2 linked regions of the Drosophila melanogaster genome follow. The protein of the gene in region 2 interacts with the protein of the main gene of each other region in a pairwise test. Each region holds a gene or a part of one and is shown on either strand. Other genes may lie near its edges.

The links.
Region 1: the proteins of tbrd-2 (region 2) and CG43737 interact in a two-hybrid assay, tested with the Drosophila melanogaster proteins (one large-scale study listed by BioGRID).

The regions. Positions count from the first base shown.
Region 1 is NC_004354.4:15,173,409-15,178,455, reverse strand, and holds the start of CG43737 (uncharacterized protein), read right to left. Parts: upstream 3,016-5,047; 5' UTR 2,905-3,015; intron 2,646-2,904; 5' UTR 2,457-2,645; intron 764-2,456; 5' UTR 1-763.
Region 2 is NT_033778.4:19,258,340-19,263,061, reverse strand, and holds tbrd-2 (testis-specifically expressed bromodomain containing protein-2), read right to left. Parts: upstream 3,154-4,722; 5' UTR 2,998-3,153; coding exon 2,995-2,997; intron 2,941-2,994; coding exon 919-2,940; 3' UTR 768-918; downstream 1-767.

The sequences.
Region 1 (5,047 bases), on a different chromosome or scaffold from region 2:
GCTGGCTATATTGCTGCAGTTGCTGCTGTTGCTGCCTCCTTATTGACTACGCTTCTGGGAAATGGAGATTTTACTTCTGCGCTCGCTGCACGTGTTTTGTTATGCAAATTTAGTTTGGATTCAGTTTGGCTGGAGAAAAATCTTTTCGCTGTTGCTGCTGCTGCTTCTACGGCTGCTGCTGTTGCTGTTGCTATGTTGCTGCGGTTGCCTTTGGCACTTAATTTCCCCCTTCGCTCAGCTTGTTGTTGGCACTTGGCATTGTGTTGTGGCTCTTGAAACTGCAACTCGGCAACGTCGTCATCGTCGTAATCGTCGTCTGCATCATCAGCATTGTCATCATCATCATCTGCATCTGCATCATCATCGGCGTTTCCGTGGAATGTTGCTGCCACAGTTGCTGCAGGTTTCATTCATGTTGCTGCTGCTTCAGTCGCTGCTGCTGCTATTGTTATCGCCGCTGCAGTCGTGGATGCGGCCATTTTCTGCGGCTGCAGCGCCGCTTCAACCGCTGCTCACCGTTGGCGGCGTCCTTGTGGTCTTTTTTGTTGGCTTAAAAATATATGCACTGCCCGAAAAAATATGGCAGTGGGTGGTGAAGCCGACCCTTTTTTTTTTCTTTTATTCCTTCGCTTTGAAGCACTTAAAGGGCTAGAGGCTGCTGCTATAATCCCTTCTTTGATCCCTGATGTTGCAGCAGCTATCTCCTTGTTGCAGGCTCCTTCGATTTCTTGCTGGTTTATTTCGCCGTCACTCCAATGGCATCCTGAATGGAAATTAAATTTGAAATAACGAAATCGGCAGAAGCAACAATTTAACTTATTGTTGTTGCCGCTACATTGCATCGCATCGCATTGCTCGATGGCAAATCCAATGAAACTAATGAAGCAACAGCAATACGGCAACAAAAAAAAAAAAAAATGGAAAGAAAAATGTGAAAAGTGTTTGCCAGGTTGCAATGTCTGAAAGAATAAGGACGATTGGAATAATGACGGGAAAATAAAGAAGAGAAAACCAGAAAATAAAATAAATAAATAAGAGTCAAGCGGTCTTGGATGTTTTTTTTTTTTTTTAGAAAGAAGTGGATATAATTGATATTATAACAACTAATAACATTGCTATATATATATTGCTATATATACATAAACCACCATAAAAGCCACTACATATTATACTCCCCTACTTCCATGAAAATTCAAACTGAGCCCATTAGCGACCAGTTAAGTGCTTTATCATCAATCAAGCTCCTTTGATTTCGCCATCTCCCCAGATATATTACCCACAACTTATGGCATACTTCTCGTTGCCGGATCTAAGAAAAACCGCCGCAAAACTGTTGCTGCCGCCTTAATTCAATTTAGTCAACTGGCCAAGGAGTATGCAGGAGGAAGTTTAACCCACAGAGAGTACAAATTTAAGGTATGGACTGCTAGACACGGCCATCCTGTCCCTTTGAACCCTAACCCATTATGGGGTGGTGCGACCAGACCAGACCATGCAAATTAAATATAAAGCCTACAAAATGATTCGATTTCACAGACCTGGCCCTGATCCCAAGCTGCGAAAAAAGGTTGAATCTACACTAATATAAATGGGAGCATAGAAATGGGCCAAAACCGCAAGCGGGTGGGGTTAGGAAAAAGCTTTCAATTCGCTCATCATCATGGTCATCGTAACAAGTTGCTTATCATCGCCGCACCACCACCGCCGACCTTTGACCCTTCATTTCGCAACTATTGTGAAACATCAAAGGGCACAAAAAAGGGAAAAGTTTGCGGCTGTGGAAAAACAAATGGGCGCAACGGAGGCGCCACACAAAAGCGGAAGCGTAATAAAAGCGTTGATAATGGCAGCCGTAATGATATGGAAGGAATATCTATAAATACACAAATTCATACTATACACTCGTAAAACCAAATTCCCCTTTCACTGAAGCCTAAATAAATACGCAAAAATACACGCAAGCCGGTATGAATTCAAGTAGAACTTAAAATATAAACTTCTGTAAACGTGTGGCACGCTCTTCATTTTAAAAGCAAATAAAGAAACCCACATAATAGTGAATAAACAAAAAGTGTGTAAACATTTATGAGTGCTGTTTAGTTTGGTTGGTTGGTATAAAATATATACAAAGAAAGTAAATGCACTTAAGCTCTATAATTATTTATCTTAAACGCGAAATCTAATTTGCCCACTTAATAAATAAAAAGTAAGTGTCTTACAGCCCAGAAATAAATACAAAATTAAAGCAAGGCCAATTTACTTTAATGGTCAACCCATTCACGTATTTATTATTTAAATGTAGGCATTGCAAGACAAGGATCCCCCGTTTAATACCTCTAGTGGAACATGGAAAACTACTACAGCACTCCACCACTTAAATACAGCAAATATAAGAAGGCTTTGGGGGTTCTCAATTTGACGCCATGCGTATTTGTTGATATAGGTTTCAGACTCACCGCCGGCAAAGTTATAGCTCCCGATTCCACTCGCCCCGCAAGGTAATCCAAGGGTCCTTGCAGAGCCCAAAAAAACACACAAATTTCCACACTCTCTTTGAATTTTTATGATAAAGTCACTTGAAACTGTTTGTTTTTTATTTCAGCTTTTCTTTATATAGTTGTTAAATAGTTCAATCACTGTGGACACTGCAAAAAATTGAGCAAAAAAACTAGAAACGAGAAAACACCGCGAGAAACCGCCAGAGAATTCGATGCTGTTATGACAGCGGCAACAACAATGCTAAAACGCGGAAAAACACGCAAAAACGCGCAGGAAACGCGCCAAATTGCAGGATGCTTTACTGGGAATTCACATAGGATTTTCGTAAGGATTGCTATAAGGAGTGGATGTTGGGTGGGTTAGGAGGGTCTGATGTGTGGTCGGGAGGCTAGATTATAGACTCACAACTCCTTTCTAGAATTTAACCCGCTGATGAAGCTGATTCTTTGGCGGCCGTTGATTTTATTGCTTCTATTGCTGCTGCATCCTATTGCTCCGAAAACCGCACGCAAACTGCGCAAATTTCGAAGCATCATCTGCCTTAAAGGACACTCGACGGCACTTCGGATGAAATCCTGCCGATTTCTCCCGAACGCTCGGCGAACTTCGGATGGCGAAAGTATTGGTTAACGCAGCGAAAAACGCGCGGAGAGTTTGGAGACTTTTGAGCTCCGACTGACGGTTTGTGTCACGGCTAAGAGCGGGGATGTCAAGTAATAAACAAGCTTATGTTTTTTGTACAAAATGAATGCGCTTTTGTTGAAAAAATAAAACGAAACCTATTAGGTGTCAGCTTAAACAATAAAATGTACAATATTTAGTTTTATATGATTCTAATACAGTCTACATAAGAAAGCTTTGGAATGCTGAAGGCTATTGCTACTGACAAGCTTTTATTAAAGACGAAGCTTTGATTTCTGGCGCTTTAAATTAACATTTACGAATGAAAATCTATCAGTTTCTTGTTTAATTTATAGTATTGTTTGATATTTAATGCATTAATTTCGCAACTTTGTTAATATTTTTAACTTATTTTTGGTCACTATTCACCATAGGTGTAAAAAAATTTGTTCAAAGTTTCAGGACTAAAAGGAATGTCAAGTAATTTAGTTATTTATGAGAATAGTTATGTTAAAGAAATAATTCATTTTTATTGCCTTATCATAAATTCAAATGAGCTCACAGTAGAAAACAGAACATTTGCCTGCATTTCTGGGAATCGTTTCAAAAGCATTCCCTCACATTGCATTCCTCGTGGATTCTCGGTGCCAAAATGCTTTGCATACTATGTACATACATATAGCCATTTGATCATGCAACACGCATGATAATTCCCATAAATAATTCGCCAGTGGGATTACGTAAACATTTCGGTTTTTGGCTCGCTGCCTCTTGGATCTTTCTTCTGGAGTGGATTGGCATGCACACTTCTTTTGTCTACGCTGCGGAATTCGAGGCGAGTCCCCGCGGGCGACACTCCCAAATGTCTTGGTCTTTGGACTCGAATCCAAATCCAAGTCCGAGTTGGACTGCGTCTCCGTTTGATGGGCGGTTAAATACTGGACGTCGCCAGACATAAGACTAATGCCAAGCACCGTTCGATTCCGGATTTCGGTTCGACTTGGACTTGGACAGATGTCAATTCCCGAATCCCCCTGCCTGAATAACACGCTCCTTCTGGACACTGAAAAATAATTCATTAAGCACCATTGTTATCATCAAGTAAGAATATTAATGGGTGTTTTATAATACGATTTCGAAGTTATGTGCTCAACAAATGTATAACCATTATAGCCTTTATATTAAGAATCAAAAGTGCGTTTTAGTTTAAATAACTACTTAAGAGGGGGAAAAAAAAAAAAAAATAATAATAACAATTATTACTGATTAGTTGATAGTTAGCCAAACGTTATTTGCAGTGCAGATGTCTGTATCTGTATCTTATGTTGCCCGTGGGTGAGATTGCTTTAGCAATTTGGCTGGCAAGAGCATTTGCATTTTGAAAAATTAACAATGCGCATACCTGTAGCACCACCGCCAACAGCACCACCCACACAGGTGATAGAAAACTTAATTGAATTCCCCTTTGGGTGCCTGCCCATCGAGCACATTCAATTGCTGACCTCAAAGAGATTCATTTGGCAGTTTGTTTGTCTTGCGCTTTTTGTATTATTTGTTTTTTTATGTTTGTACCCCTTTTTTGGCGGAACGCTTTCTTCTCCGCCAGCCGTTACACGTTTGAATCACTCCGAGGCCGGCCGCATTTATCGAGCGTAATGAGCACGCAGCCCCGAGTCCCCCTACATACCCACCAAATCACCACAAACCGCCCCTGGATCGCGCGCAGTTCGAGCCCCATTAACACACAAATCCAAAGCGTTTCAATTGCCCGCCGGTGTCGAAGTTGAAGTTTAAGTTTAAATTTAAGTGCGATTTCGATGGATATAGCGTACGGCTTCTGGCCTTTGGCCTCTAGATCATACCCTTTAACTAGTGGGTACTGTGGTGTTGGTAACTGATTGGTAATTGATTCAAGTGCAACAAATAA
Region 2 (4,722 bases):
CCCAAACACCGCACCCCGAAATGCCAGATCACCCAGGACCGCGATGCCTCCAAGATCAGGACATTGCCGAAGGAGTTGTGCGAGGAGCGTGAGAAAGTCTCCTTTTTGCACGAGTGATTTACATAATTTTTGGGCAAGTAAATTGCATGCACATCTCGTGTGTGGACCTTATGCAAATGAGCTGCGACGCTATTGCCATAGTGCCGTCCCTTTTCAACCCCCTGCTGCCAGCACGCAGGACGCAGGACGAAGGACTCGGGCCGGGCCGCAGGACTCAGGTGTGCGAGCGTGTCGGCATGCTGTGAACAAGGCGCCGTCCACTGTGCCCGTAATTAACCCCTGTCTCTGTGGCATTTCCCTTTTTCCATCCCATTTTCACTTTCGTTTGCATCCGAGTTCTTTTGGCAGTTTCGCAATGCGAGTTTCCTTATGCAAATGAGAGTGCATCCTCGCCCTTCCCTTTATATTCGCCAAGTGAAAATCTTATGCAAATTTCCTTGGCTGTGAAAAACTCCTTCCGCCGCGAGATACAGGATCTGCGTGATCTCCGCTCTAATTTGACTGCTGGGTGTCAGGTACTGCGAGCATCGTTATCCTTTTTTGGCTGCGATCGTGAGAAAGTTCGGAAATTTGCATAATTTTTCGTGAAAATTTTGCTGGTCTACGTGATCGTTGCAAAGACAGTAGAGATTGGAGATGCTAAATCTCTGATCGCAATTTCCCAAGCTCTTAGGAAATAATGAATTACAAACATATTAATTTTTTTTAGTTTCTTGTCCAACCATATATGTACACATGAATGTGTAATATAGGTGTTTACAGTTTTTATTTTCTTATATTTGGGATATTTGTAGTGAAACCCCCCTTTTTTTTACATATACATAAAATGCAAGAATTCATAAGACTTCTTTATGAGGATTAGGCCCTCAGCTGTCCTTCGGGTACATTGGGGACCACTTCAACGTCAGAGGAATCGTTGGACTCGGAGCTGTTGTTCGAAGATGAACTGGAACTGGAGCTTGATCTGGAGCGCGACCCTGAGCTGGAGCCAGCGTTGGAGCCAGAGCTAGAACTAGAGTTAGATCTAGAGCTGGCGCTGGAGTTTGACCTGGGTCTCAACTTGGTGTCGGACATGGACCTGGACCTGGACCTAGAAAGTCTGCCGGACTTGGATTTCATTTCCGACTCGCTGCTGCTGCTGCTGCTCATCTGGAGTTCGACAACGTGTGGCAACTTGGGGGGGGATCTGATGGGTTGCATTTGCAAAGGATTACTATTTATTGGGAGATTCCTCATTGGAGTGCCACCAATAGCCGACAGTTTTACCGGAGCGGAGACGTCATCGTCGCTGGTATCGCTCAGATTGTGAGTCTCAACAACACCTGCTCCCAATTGTGGAGCCATTACATTAGCCTGTAGCGGCTTCAATTTGGCGGTTAGCGGAGCAGTTGCTCTCTTACGCACCACGTTATTGGCAGTGTTGTTTTTATTCCTGAAATTGATCAAGGGACCACATCGGCGACGATTTTTGTTGAGCATCCGTGTAATGTTCACCAGCTGCGACTGCAGTGCCCGCTGAAGTCCTTCCTTTTCCGAAGGCTGCATGTCCTTGAGCTTCAGCTTGCTATGGGCCCTAGTTGCCTTGGTGACGGCACTTTTCATCATGATCATAGTATCCGTGGCGAGACCTTTGACATCGAAGCTCAGATCTCCACAGTTCTCTGAGGAAAATCCTTCGATTTGCTGGACCATGTGAATTATCTCCTTCATGGCGTTTGTCGGAAGCTTGGCAAATAATTTCTGTGTGGCACATCGATCCGCGTCAGTGATACGCATTGAGGCATCGATAGCTTCATCATCTGAGGATTCAATGCTAACTGCCATGAGGTTATCTATTTCATTTCCACTTAACAACTCCATAGCTGGCTTAAATTCGCCTTGGACCAAATCCGTTTCCTGCTCGGGGCTCATCTTCTGTCGTTTGCTAGATGATGGGTTTGGAGAATTTCGTTGACCTGCCTCCATTTTGTTTATCATCTTGTTTAAGGTGTCACAGAAAGTCTCCACCAAACTCTTGGCTGTCAGAGGTTCCCCGGAACCGGGCATTTGGACGCACTGCATCAAGCTATTTACCGTTAACTTGGCGGCAGCCAGTAGTTCATTTAGATCTGCGGCATTCAAAGCAGATTCCAGCGATGAGTTTCCATTCATGGAAGTACACCAAGCCGCCGGCTGATTAAAGACTCTTTCGTAGAGGATTTTAGCCGGTTCGTGGTACTTTCTAAAGCAGCCATCCACATGCAAGCAAAATTCATTGACAGACTTGAAGTACTGGCGATCAACTTTCTTTTGCAACGAATCCCACTTGTTACTGAAGAAATTGCGCGTCATGGCATCTGTCTGATTGGTGATGCTCTGCAACTTCTTCAATAATTCCCGGCACTTGCGTTCCGTCTGCGCGGAACTAGGAGCATTGGTCCTAGGCCTGCCCACCGCCTTGGGATCCCTATTGCAGGGCACCTCTGGACCAGACGGCATGCCTCGGAGTTTCTTGTGAAAGAACTTCTCCAGCATCTGGCCCTTGCGGTAAACGACATCGCCGGATCGATTGAATAGGAAGCAATTGCTAATAATTTGCTTGAAATCGGCAATCGCTTCATTGACAGATTTATAGTAGTTGTTCTGAACTCTTTTCACAATGGTACCGATATCCATGGGACGATGGATAACCGTGTAGTATGTGGGCACCATCAGAGCCTCCGTGTCCACGGGCTCCAAGAAGTCCAAGGCATACTTCTTCTTGCGAGCCTCGTCGAGCAAATGCTTCTTGAAGTAATGCAACTTATTGGTATAACGACCCGCCATTCCGGGATGCGGTATAAACTCGGGTTGGACACGATTTGGGAGTTTTAGTTTTACGGAAAGCGGCTTGCAAGATGCCTGCCAATAGAATGATTTGTAGAAATTCGCGCAGTGAATAGCTTACGAACTCACCATGCTAGAGATATATTTTTCAGTTACTGGTTACTGGTTGTTCGTTTGTTTCGATTTTTGAAAACGTGTCTCTTTCAATTTTACACAAATATAAACTCGAATTTGACTACGATTACGATTGAGTTTTGGGAACACTTTTGCCGTTCGACCGTCCGCTTTCAGGAACAAATTTTTGTGATGGAAAAACACATATCACCGCTCAGCTGTCCTATTTTGACAAGTGAAGTAATTGCACAGCCTACTGCCATTTAGAAATCACTAGCATGAAAGTTTCGAAAGTTCTAGTCAGGGATGCCAAGACATTGCATTTAAATATGCGGCAACCCCTAGGATTTTGCAAAAGTGAAAGTCACTATTAGAACATTCGTTTATTTTAAAATCCTGCCTATTCTTAAGCCCTCGATAAGCAGCAGTGCACCAATTATAGGCTGGTTGATCAGAAAGACACCGAAACTAAAGCAAACAATGGCACATCAAAGGGAATGGAGGCAAACATCCAACCACCCATACCACCCACCACCACACCCGACCGGCCCCATCCACTGAATATTTATAATAATTTGCACCACTTCAGAGGCTTTCAGCGTTTTGTACCCCACCTCCCGGTTGGAAAATGTGGCAATGGGACATAAAAACTGCTTTTTGCAATTTACATCAACATTTTTATCACCCCACCACCCATCGGCACATCCCACCACCGACAACCTTCAAGGAGTACAGCAACAACAACACGCTTTTCCTATTTGCATACATATGTAAGTGTGTCCCATAAATACAGATATACGGCCACGCCCCTCACCGCCGCCCACCACGACAGCCTCCTGCGTCTTTTTGCGCACTTAATTACACACGCATACGCTTCATTCCACTTTGCGGTGCTGCTTGTCTAGGCATACGAGCCACCCAACCAGCCAAACCACCCACCCAACCAGGCACCCACTGGAGGACAGGAAGGACTCCGCAACCATTTGCGAACCACCGCGGTGGGACAGGCCCACTACGGAAATAGACACGGGGCACACTCCGGAAAAATCGTACAAAATGGAGGTCATCACTGTAATCCCAATCGATAATGCAAATTAACAAGGAGTCGTAAAAATTATGAACTTGAATATGGGCAAAATTAATTGCAAAATTATACAAACTAATTCCCATCGTAGATATTACGATATTATTATATAATATTCCTAAATATCATATGCTTCTATGTTTCACAGTGTTCGCAGTACAGTCCTGCGATTGTCGTCCTATATCCTTGACTAAGGACTTTTCGTGCTGCAAATTTGTTGCTCTTTAGGCAATGGCACTCACAGAAAGGACCACTCACGGAATCGCTGGAGACGCAGAATGCCCGGCTATCGCAGGTTCTACCTGCCTGGGCCAAGGTGTCAATATTGCGTTATCATCCCGGGACTTTGAGTCCCAGCTCCGATCCCAGATCCCCGACCCCTGACCACTGAGCCCTTAGCCCTCTCACCCCGGCAAACGTCCACGTCCTTGGCCATTCTTTCGTTAATTTTATCTCTGACGGCGATTAATGCGAATAAATTTTATAGACGAAAATGTGCACTCGCATGTCCCGTCGCCGAGTTATCCTCTTTTGTGTGTGCGTGTTTTCCCTGGGACCTTTTCCCCCGCCACCGCTCGGCTAGCATTTTCCTTGGTTTTCCTACGTTTTCCTCTTCGCCCCCTGCCTTTGGCTAATGTTTTTTTACTGACTTTCTGTGG